Tamandua tetradactyla: one gene and its partners. The protein of the gene in region 1 purifies or fractionates together with the protein of each later gene. This does not show direct contact. Links are inferred from orthologs where the notes say so. Each region holds a gene or a part of one and is shown in the gene's direction. Other genes may lie near its edges.

Region 1 (3,748 bases):
ATGAGCATGGAGGGGACTAGGGAGGGGGGTGGTGCTGGGCCCCTAGCAGGTGAGGCCAGCCGGGAGATGGAAGGTGGAGGCCAGCAGCTATATATTACAGTGGTCCGGTTGAAAGTTGGGGAGATGACATAGTCCTGGAAAACCTTCAGGGTATACCAGACACGTGCAGTGGGTGAGGGGTGGAAAGACACAGGGAAAAGGATCCCCAAGAAAAAGATCAGAGGCTCCAGAAGGAACTGTTAATTCCTTCGGAGTGCAGGCCGGATACCCAGGAATGGGCAGTCATGACAAAAAAGAGCTCCTGCTTGTTGGGCATCTGGGATGTGCCAGGCAAAACAGTTTCCGAGTTCTTTCTTCTCGTGTCGTTTTTCACAACAAGCGGCTGTTACCTGAATTTCCCAAATGAGCTCACTGAGTTTGACAAAGATGATGTCAGAGAGGTGGGATTTACATCCAGATCTGCCTACCAGCAAACTTCCTGGACCCCAAAATTACCCAACACAGACATTCTTGGCCATCTCCCTGATCTTGCTCTGTTCGTTCGTATTTTCTTAATTTAAAATAAAACTTGAACTCACTTTGGTTCACATGTAAAATTTGACCCTGTCCTAAGCAGTAATATAAAATGAAATTGCCATGCCAGTTATGTTTTCTCCAATACACATTCAAATACATATGGAGCTCGAAAAATGAGATATATGTCTCCCCTAAAATCATTTCACCTGCTGCCATTGGGATGGTTGGGAGATGCCCTAAGTTTTACTTCCTCCTGGAGGCTCACAGGGGCTCCCAGTCAAGGAAATAGGATGAAGAAAGCCCCCCTTTGCTTCAAAGTTCTGAATCTGAGAGGATGAAATCAGACTAGCATTTGCCCTCTTGTTACTAGAGTGAGGTAAGGGGCAGTGGCCAGGTCCCACCTGTGGGAGGCACCTGAATTTCATCTGCTGCACATCAACCCCACTGGGGTGAGGCAAATGCCCAAGTCTTACAGGGTACCAGTGCAGCATCCTGAAGCTCACTGTGCTGCCTTCGTGCCAGAGCAGGACCAGATCTGCCTCCTCCCAAGACCGCGGGGATCTAGAACGAGCCTGGGGGCTGCACCCAGAGATGCCCAAAGCCATTGGCAGGGGCTGGATAAGAAACTGAGAGGACAGGCAAAAAAAGACCAGGCCCCCTGGCTCTGGCCACACCGAGGGAATTAAGAGAGGGCAGCGGCCCCAGGAGGCCCTATGGACAGGCAGCCAAGTGGGACTTAGGTCTCAGGACTGGCACTGGCTGAAGACACCCCTGGGAGCCGGCCCACAGGGGAAGGGGCAGAGCTGGTGAGGGGGAGAACCCAGGCCCAGGGCAGGTCCCTGGATGGAAAGAACTGCTGTCCTCATACTTCCTACAGATGCCCATGAGGGCAAAACACCTCCCATGTATTGGCAGTTGTATGGGTGCCCAAGAGGGTCCTACCGAGGCAACCCCTCCCTTATCCCAATCGCATGTGCAGGGCCCATGTGCCTTTCCCCTGCACCCACTGCACCCTCTGGCCTCCAGGTTAAGTTTCTCTTCCTGTCCCCCACCCCATGACTCCCTGGCTCCCCCTATGGGCAGGGTTCTGGGATGGGCCGCCTAGCTGGTGCAGCAGGTCTCATGAGCCCTCCCAGCCACCGTAGCCCGGGTGCCTTGAGAGGGAGACTGAGTGATGGCTTCCAACTCCAGCGATGGTGAGGCTGTGCCCTGTTGCTATAGCAACTTTCCGGGCACTCCCTGTCCCCCAAGTCAGGGAGGGGTAGCGGTAGGGTCTGGGTAGCCAGAGTTGAGGAAGACTCTGTGGTCCTCTGGCTGGCCCCGGAAACCCCTGCTTACTAACAGCCCCGGACCAGGGGGACCTGGGGCAGAACGCGGGGTATGCATGGTCCTGTTCAGACAAGGGGGGATGATCCTCCCAGAATGGGGGTCCAGCCCATTGTTGGGGTTTGTCTGAAATAGGGGCTAGTCCGGCCAGGGTTGGGGTTCACCTAAGAATAGGGGTTGGTCCAGTTCAACTTTGGGGTCCAGCACTGGATGGGAAATGATTCAGTCCAGAATGGGGGCCTAGTTCATGGATTCTTGGTTAGACTGGAGATATCAGCCATCCCAGAGTAGGGGGCCAGGCCCAGACTGGAGTTCCCAAGCCCTGGAACTCCTAGGACAGCCAGGGTTTTGGAGGATGGCGGGACCTGAGATTGTTGCCTGGGGGCTCTGGGGCTGGGCTCCTTCTGAAGGAACCGCTAAGCCCCTGGCCCGTTTTGGCGTTCTGCTGTTCTAGTCTCCCATTTGCAGGGTGACTTTCTAGGTTTCTGTCTTCGTCCATGGCCCTGGTTTTTTGAGGGGTACATGGGGTTTTCTCTGTGCACCCAAGCTGAATGCAGACGAGGCTCGCAGCCCCGTGTGGAGGAAACCAGCCGTCTGTCCCTTTCTCTGTCACTTCCTCTTGCCAGCAGGGACCCCGGGTGCCACCGACCCCCCTGCTTCTTTGGGATCTGGAGGGAAGGAGGAAAGATAGTCAAGGCTGCCTCCCCCTCCCCCACGCCTGGGTTTAGCCTTTCGTTTCCGGTTTGGACTCTCATGGCCGAGAGCAGAGCCAAGCACTGGGCAAGGTTTGACAGAGGCCAAGGACATCCCAGGATGCCCTCCCCTCTCCGCCCCCGCATGGGATCGAGACAAAGAGCCAGATGTACCCATTACTCTCTCAGAATAGGATGATTCGGGGGTTCCAGTTTGAAGGGAACTCAGGGGACGAGATAGGGGTAGCTCGTGCTCCCCCCACCCCCATTTCTTTCCAGCTGTTCTCTTGGCTAATTAACGGAGCTCTGGAGCCTCTTGAGCCCCCAGGGAATCTCTGACTACTGCCTGGGCCTTAACTCCTTCCCCTCTGCCCAGGGAGTACCACCCTGGGTACTTCATTTGCCATCTTCTGAGCAGACCCACATCCACTGAGGAAGGCAGGGCCTGGCATCTCGGGAACTACGAAGTCCCTGGAACAGGAAGGTAGCTTTAGCAGCCCGCTGTGGGGTTGTCGGGCCAGGAGGAACACCCTCGGGAGAGTGTCCCCTCCGCCTTCTGCCAAAGAGGGCCTCCGCCAGCCCTGGGCAGCAGGAGCAGGTACCTTTAAATGCTTCCGTGGCAACCAGCGCCTCCTCTGCGGTCCCGGAGGCCCTCCCAAGGAAGCAGGCTCCAAGGCACTGATTTTCCTGACTTCCCTGCAAAGGGAGGATTCCAGGGAGAGCCCAGGGTGGCCTGGGATGGATCTGGGGTCAGGCAGTGGCCAGGGTGGGGATTCGGAGACCACCTTCCAGGTGTGGCTGCAGCTCTTACTCTGGGCCCACCTGGCTGTCCGTTTCCTGAGCTACCTGCGCCACACCCTCTCGAGGCCCAAGCTACAGCCAGCACCCTGAGCCCCAGATCACCCCACCACACCCACCCCCACCTGTCCTCTGCTGGAAGAGGCAGGAAGCAGAGGTGAGTGTGGGGGCTACCAGCTGGGGTTTACTCCTTGCCCCTCCCCATCATCCCTCTTTATCCACCTGTTTCTCTTAGCACTGCTCCCCTTCTCCACTCTCTTCCCCAAAGCTGGCAAGCCAGCAGTGCCCCCATGGCACCAGAGGGAACTTGGTTTGGATCCTTCATGCTTTGAGGCCTGAGAAGGGCTGAGCAAGGCACCCTTGGCAACCACTCATTGGGAAACCCATGGGCAGCCACTGAGTCAGGAAAGAGCCAC
Region 2 (3,748 bases), on another chromosome or scaffold:
CCGGATGTTCGAATGGACTAAGTATAGATTTAGAAATCTCATAAGCCAATATTTTGGCTGAAGATATTCTTATCCAAAGTGAGAATACTGCCTACCTCTTAAACCTGGAGTCTAGGGTAAAATCAAATTTGTAGAATCAATATGACTTCTCTTCCAAATTAACCCAGACCAAGGCAGACTAAACAGTGGAACTGCAGAGGGAAAAAGCTGCAGCCCCAGGGTTCTTGATTCTGCCTCACCTCAGAAGAGAGAAAGGCAGTACAGACTCAAGAGAGATTGTTAAATTGCTCCTTAACCACATAACTCCATAAACACAGCTAGAGAGAGCAATTATTTACCTCATGTGTTTCTAAAAACTTTTGCTTTTTTTTTTTTTCTTGTTTGAAATGAACGGTATTCTTTTCAGGCAAAAATTTGGAAAAGACCGGTAAATAATTTGCATTTTCTCATTTAGAGTAAAATGTCAGACCGGTACAAATAAATTAGGAAATCATGAGGGAAAAATGGAAAGGTTTTAAGAAATTACGTCTCCAATAAGTCAACAAGTATACAAGCCAATGTACTTGTACTCAGAGAGTACTTCTTAATTCCTGTCAAAAATGTTAGTTTAGGGCGGACCACGGTGGCTCAGCAGGCAAGAATGCATGCCAGAGGACCCGGGTTCGATTCCTGGTGCCTGCCCATGCAAAAAAAAAAAAAAAGTTAGCTTAAATATAAGCGCAGGCGATGCGCCCTAGACTAGAAATCAAGATGGCGGAGGAAGAGGCTTCCCGGCGCTACCCACGCACAGGAGCTTTGAGGGAACAGCGAGAACTGGCAGAGACATCGTACTCAAAGCCTCAGAAAAAACAATTAAAGGGCTCCATTACCAGGGAGAGCACTAAATTAAAACAACTTAGAAGCTTTATAAATTTCGGAGCAGGCTGACTGGACCGACCCCCACCCCCTGACCCCTGAGAAATTGGAAAAGAACTACGGGACATCAGGAAAATGGTAGACGAGCACAGAGGATATCAATAGAGGGATACAAATTACTAAAAGGAACCAAAGAATTCTATATCCAGCAAAACTGTCTTTCAAAAATGAGAGGGAGATTAAGACAGTCCCTGAAAAACAAAAGCTGAGGGAGTTCATCCGGTAGCTCCGTCCTACCGGAGACTCGAGAAACGGACGGAAGCCTCGGAAGAAATAAAGGTCACTGGTGAGGTAAGGACATGGGCAAATATAAATGTGTTTTTGATTTGTAACTCTTATTTTTTACTTCCTACAGAATCTAAAGGGCAAAGGCATAAAACATAACGATAAATCAGTGGTTTAGGACTCGTAATGAATAAATATGTAATTTGTGACTGGCGCTATCTAGAGGTGGGGGTGGGGTGCAGAGGGGGTTAGGAGCACAGTTTGTCTAACCTGTTGAGGTTGATATCAAAGCAAATGAGATTGTTACAGATTTATGATGTTAAATTCATGTCTCATGGTTACTAAGGAAACAATATGAAAGCAAGTAGAGGAGGGTTGCCAGGGGTGGGTGGCGGGGGAATGGGGAGTTAATGTCTAATGGGTGTGGTTTCTGTTTGGAGAGATGAGACAGTTTTAATAATGGAAGGCGGTGAGGGTAATGCATCATTGTGAATGTAATCCATTCCTTGGAATGGTACGCTTGGAAGTGGTTGAGATAGAAAAGTTTGTGTTGTGGATATGTGCCTATAATTTTTTTTTTTTTTTGAGAGCAGCTAAAGAGACAGTGGCAATTAAATGCAATATATGATCCTGAATGGGATTTTTTTTAGTTTTCTTGGCTGCTCAGTGGGTAGGCTTAAAAAATAGGAATTTATGAACTCAGGGTTTGAGGACTGGAAAATATCCAGATCAAGTCATCATCAAGGCCAGGCTTTCTCCTTGACCACTGTGGTGTTCTGGGGCTGGCTGCTGGAGATCCCTGGTCTTTGGCTTTTCACATGGCAAGGCACGTGACTTCGTCACCAAGTCTTTCCTTTCTCCTCTGTGTTCCATTGATATTCAGACTCTGGCTGCCCCCTCTTTGGCTTTCCATCTGTCAGAGTTTCATTCTGCTTATTAAGGACTCCAGTAAAAAGATTAAGACCCATCCTGATTGAGTTGGGTCACTTCCAATGGGTTTATAAGTTTAACAACATGTTTTCTGGGATACACAGCTCCAAATAACCACAGGATCTAGCATGGGAGAAAAGGATCAAAAGAATATTTATCAGGCAGGTGAAAAAAAATGTAAGCCTTATATCAGTGTTAAATTTCTTGAACTTGGTAACTGCACATAAGGTGGTTACATAAGTGAATATTCTTATTCTTAGGAAATGTGCATGGCGGTATTAAGTGTTCAAGGAGTGTGACTTATACAACCTACACCTAAGTGTTTAGAAATCGGATTGATAGATATATATACACGGATAGATAGATGGGTAGAGAGAATGATATGGCAAATGTGGCAAAATGTTTAAATAAGGGTATCTGGGTGTCTGGAGGATTATGGGTATGGTGAAGTTTTCCATATAGGATTTGTATTATTTTTTGTAAGGTCCTTTTTTTTTTTTTTGCAATTTTGAAAGTATTTAAAAATTAAAAGTTCTAAAAACATACGTAAATAAAAATAGGGGATGTTTCTGGAAAAAAAATTTTAATTTTATTTTTGAAAAGAAAAAACCCATTGTTACAAAGGGATAATGCAAAAGGATACCTTATGTATCCTGTGGGAAGCAATACCTTGTAAATTAAACACAATTTTGAAATATTCAAATTTTAATACTAATTCTATTTTTAATCCATTATGATTTGAGACCTGAAGTGAAAATATTTAATAGTCAATTATTTTCCCCTAACTTTTTATTAAAGTCTAAGGTAGAAAACTTAGAGGAGAGTAGTGTTCATCCAGCAATGATAAGAGGAAGAAGGTTGGTTGAAGAGCATCCTATGTGTCTTCATTTCACCTTTCTCCACAGGGGACATATTTGCCCTAGAGGTCTCCAGAGGAAATACAGACTCATTTTCCCATCTGACTGATGTCCCAGAAAATTGCCATTCTTATCAGATTCTATGTAAGATCTGCACTATAAGAACCAAACTAAGAATTTTTAGCCGTTCAGGAGGCTCTCAAGTGTAATGCTGTGAACACTTTGGTGAGACAGAACAGCTTACTGGTGGCAGGCATAGAGCAGGGACTGTGTCCCAGGTCCAGGTTCTCTCCTTGCCTTCCTTAGTAGAAACGTAGACATATGCTACTTATCCCAGGCATGTCTCAGTTTCTTCCTCTGGAAAAAGTGTGAGAATTATAGTTACTTACCTGTTAGGGATTTTATAACATTTATTAATGTCTCAAAACTCTGTAAATAAAAATAAATTCTGCACAGATGTTAATTACTTTTATTCAAAGAACAGCCTCACAGCTATTCTATTGCCAGATGCAATAGAAGGTGGTGAACAGGTTTCCAACCTTTCTCATGGAGGTCAGATAGCAATTAGTAAGAAGAATAGTCGAGAAAAATGAAGCAGTTAACCAAGATCTTAAAATGAAGGCATTATTTAATAGAGCTGAAGGAAGCAGGCATCTACTGGAAATGAATGTGGCATGACGGAAAATAATTGGAAAATTGAATCGTCTATGGCAGTATTTCATAAAAGGAGAAAATACCTTTGACACTACCTGAATCTGAGTGGAATAGACAAGTTTTGAGAATATTGCTATACTTTGTATAATCAAACTGAGACTCATTCA
Region 3 (3,748 bases), on another chromosome or scaffold:
ATGTTTTAAACAACTTTATTAAGGTATAGTTCATATACCATAAATTCACCCAAAGTGTGCAATTCAGTGGTTTTTAGTATATTCAGGGAATTGTGCAACCATCATTACAAAACAATTTTATAACACCACAGCATTTTATTACTAAATTTTTATAGCATTGTTTTTCCATTTGTGATGGTATGTTGATTTTTCTCTTTAACTGTGTATTGTCTTTCCTTTTTAGCTTGTGAGCTCCAGGAGAGTGGGCACTATGATGACCATGCACAGGACACCAGCTGCATCCTGAGCACCCACCTAGCTAGCAGACACCTACCCCAGAGGGGCCAGTAAGTAAGTATACGTTGAAAGGCTTGTCCCATCTACTCTTCCCTGCCTCGATAAAGGGCACTTGGATGGGAAGCAGATTCCCCCTCTAGAAGCCATTAGGTGTAGCGGGTTCTCAGAGACCCGGTGTATGGAGGGAATACATGTCCCAGGGGGCTGATTACTTTGGGGGTGGGACCGTGGTAATTTGAAAAGCATATTCAATATACCAATTGTTTTCATAAAACAAACTAGGTAAAGTAACGCTGGGCCACATCTTCCTGGCGGACAGGAATACGCAGAAGATGGAGTGCTAACGAGAAAGGCCTGTAGGGTCGTCAAGGTGGTGAAACTGTGTTAATTCGCTGCAGCGTAGCTGGAGTTTTCCTTGGGAAACTCAGACAGATGCCCGCTGGGCTGGCACAATGGCGTTTCCGAGCCCATGCCCAGACCACTGGGGGCAGTGCTTACTATTTGCAGAGCCCAGACGCTTCCTTCTCTTGCAACTTACAAGCAACTAGAGCTGCAGCCTTACCAATGACTCAATCGTTTCCCTACTGCTTTGGGCTGTGCCACCCACCGCAGCTGGCCCCGTCTTCTCTCCCCACCTCTCACCGCCCTCCCACCCCTCCTCCTACCCCACCCATCTCTGTGCAGCACCATCGGTCCTAGGGGAACCGCGGGCGCACCTGGCGCCTCCGGCGCCGGGGCACTGCGCACTGGTGGCCAAATCGTCCGGCGCGCAGCTACCAGCTCGCCCGCTCCCCCGAAACACTTAATTGGAGTGGCTCGTCTAGCGCCCAGCGAACAACATTATCCAATTGCTTACCGTTTTATTCGCAGGCTGGGAGCTGAGAGAGCCTGAGCATTCACTTTCAACCCTCAGGGGGAGGGGGTGTGAGCGAGGAGGGGAGACGGCTGTCGGCTTCACCTCGCGCGTGGCGAGGCCAGAGCGCTCCACTCCGGCAGAGGCGAGCAGCGCCGGTGAGCTCCGCAGCAGCGCGTCCGGGCGGCCCGGAGCCCCGCGATGGAGTGAGTATCCCCTGTGCTGCGCAAGCTGATGGGGCCCTCCACTCTGTATGTTGCCATAGTGACCGAGGCAGCAGGCCGATCCAGCTCTGGTTCCAGTCCCGGATGGGTGTTTAATTTCAGTCCAATGTGTACGCCTGGTGTTTCTATAGCAGCAGCTACCGCGGCAGGAAACCAGGGGTAGGAGACCCAGGATGTGTGGTTTTGTGCCATTGCCCTTTGGTCAGCAGGGCCTTGGAATAGGGCGTGGGGGGTGGGGGTGCTGTTAAGGAGGGAGGCATGTCCTGGGCTTCCCCATCTCTGCCCCAAGCTTCTGCTTCTCAGGGAGTTGGCCGCAATAGCCATTACTTCCGATTCCTAACCATGTCAGCGTTATTGGACTGCAGTTTAAAAAGGTGGGGGTGGGGGGGGTCGGTTACTGCGGATCGGAAGCAAATGTGGTTCGTTGTGAGAGTGTAATGGAAGAATGATGAGTTGGGGGTAATATGAGTCAAGTCTGCAATGCTCTGGACAGTAGACACCATAAGAAGACTCAAAATAATTGATTTGCTGTTAGGGTAATTGAGAAAAAAGACTAAAATGTATGAATGGCTGCCAGGGATTGAATTACAATGTTTGGCACTGTAGACAAGGCACGGGAGGGGTGGAGGTAGGAGGGCAGAAGGCAAGAGAGGCGTTATCCAGAAAAGACACAATAAAGGGCCGGGTTCTGGTTCCTCTCTCCTCTGCTTTTGCATCCCTCCCTTGCTTTCCACTCACCCTCCCAAGCTGCTGCGGCAGCAGGGCCACTCTGACAGGCGACAGCCAGCCACTCCAAGAAAGGGTCGTTTTTGAAGCCAGTTATTAGATAGCTGGTCAGTTTCTCTTCCTCCTTTTCCCTTCCCACGGATACTCACTGACACTGAAGCTGTATGAAATCATATTTCAGCCTGGAGATAATGTCATGTTTTTAGGTATTAAAGTCCTTCATGTCAAACAGAATTAACCCTAGATGCAGCCCTTATCCTTCTGCATATCTGATTGTCTAGATGCAATTTAGACCCCACCAACGAGGCTGGTAAAGCAAAAGTGAGAGATGGTGTGGCATTTGAGAAGTGAACAGCCCTGGATTTCAGGTTCTGCCTTGCCTGCTACTAGTGTTGATTCCATATACCAATAATTTCATGTCTTTGTGCCTCAGTTTCTTTTTTTGTACAGTGGAGACAAAAATATTCCTTATCTACTTTTAAGTGTTGTTGAGAGGCTCAGATAATATTTGTATCTCTTCTAAAGGGCTGTGTAAATTGTAAGGTATGTACAAATTTAAGTGACTAGTGCCAAGATTAAGAACTCACCTCTGGAGTCCTATTGTCTGGGTTTGAGTTCTTTGGCATGTTGCCAAATAATGTTAATTTTTCTGTACTACTTTCCCCATCTGGAAAATGGGAATAATTAAAATAAATATTGCTTATGATTTTTGCAAAAATTGAATAAGTGGATACATGTACAGTGCTTTGAACAGAGCCTTGCGCATAGATATTATCTTTTTCTGTCATGATTATTGTGGTCTCTAGCATTATCCGGTGACATTTGATGGGATTGCAGGTTGGCACCAAGCTATTTTTTTCCCAGACAATTTATAAAGAACACAGTGCCCTAAGGGAAAGCCCTGAGAGTAATATGGCTGCCAGATTTCTCAAGGTACTGTTTGTGGTAGGTGTGGAATATCAACCAGAAGACATGAGCAGGCGTGGGTAGACAGAGCAGACACTGGGCAAGTTCCATTCTCATTCCTCATTGTCATTTTCTTTGACCGTCCTTTACAAGACATTGAACATAGGCCTAGTAATCCCACTGTGCAGGGTTGAAGTGTACCTTGATTGCTTGCCAGGGCAGTAACCTTTATCTTACAGTCTTACATCTATAATCTAATATATATCATATTTCTCCCAGGCTTAGCGCTTGGGTACTCAATAACAGTGGAACAGCATACAGGATTTGTAAGTTTACCTCTTCAGACCTTTCTCCCATTCTTTCTTAGTCCCCCAGCTAATGGTTTGTTTCCAGTGTGCTCACCTCAAGCTTGGAGTTTCTTTTTCATCACAGTCTTCCTCTTGCTCCACAGGCTCCAGATTGCTGCTTTAGTCAGACTTTTTCTTTCCTGGTTGACCTGGCCCTGGCTTTCCAGTTCCCACGTGAAGTTAAAGGTCCCTCACCTTCCCGCTGAACTTCTCTATTTATAATTGTCTCTCTGCCCCATTTCCTTTCCTTCTTTAATATAATTAGCTCTTGAATTCTTTTTTTTTTCTTTCAGAATACCATCTTTTTTTGTTCTTCCTTGGGTCTTATTTAAATTTCCCATATGCCAAATCCTGCCTTTCCTCTCAATCTAAACTCTCCTAAAATCTCATTCTAGGTAGGACAATCAGCCTAGAAT

Evidence for each region.
Region 2: the proteins of PRKACA (region 1) and MAP2 purify together in Homo sapiens (affinity purification with mass spectrometry; 3 studies listed by BioGRID and IntAct, with this or other methods). This does not show direct contact. The link is inferred for Tamandua tetradactyla from reciprocal best matches to the Homo sapiens genes PRKACA and MAP2.
Region 3: the proteins of PRKACA (region 1) and PALM2AKAP2 purify together in Homo sapiens (affinity purification with mass spectrometry; 5 studies listed by BioGRID and IntAct, with this or other methods). This does not show direct contact. The link is inferred for Tamandua tetradactyla from reciprocal best matches to the Homo sapiens genes PRKACA and PALM2AKAP2.

Annotation. Positions count from the first base shown.
Region 1 is NC_135337.1:88,739,630-88,743,377, forward strand, and holds the start of PRKACA (cAMP-dependent protein kinase catalytic subunit alpha), read left to right. Parts: upstream 1-1,472; 5' UTR 1,473-1,487; coding exon 1,488-1,542; intron 1,543-1,609; exon of another isoform or gene 1,610-1,690; coding exon of another isoform or gene 1,691-1,712; intron 1,713-2,954; exon of another isoform or gene 2,955-3,272; coding exon of another isoform or gene 3,273-3,425; exon of another isoform or gene 3,426-3,489; intron 3,490-3,748. Other genes in the region: SMIM46 (small integral membrane protein 46), read left to right, coding at 3,273-3,425.
Region 2 is NC_135329.1:184,749,376-184,753,123, forward strand, and holds the start of MAP2 (microtubule-associated protein 2), read left to right. Parts: upstream 1-750; 5' UTR 751-1,206; intron 1,207-3,748. UniProt on the Homo sapiens protein: The exact function of MAP2 is unknown but MAPs may stabilize the microtubules against depolymerization. They also seem to have a stiffening effect on microtubules.
Region 3 is NC_135328.1:28,593,093-28,596,840, forward strand, and holds the start of PALM2AKAP2 (A-kinase anchor protein 2), read left to right. Parts: upstream 1-1,444; 5' UTR 1,445-1,459; coding exon 1,460-1,512; intron 1,513-3,748. UniProt on the Homo sapiens protein: Binds to regulatory subunit (RII) of protein kinase A. May be involved in establishing polarity in signaling systems or in integrating PKA-RII isoforms with downstream effectors to capture, amplify and focus diffuse, trans-cellular signals carried by cAMP.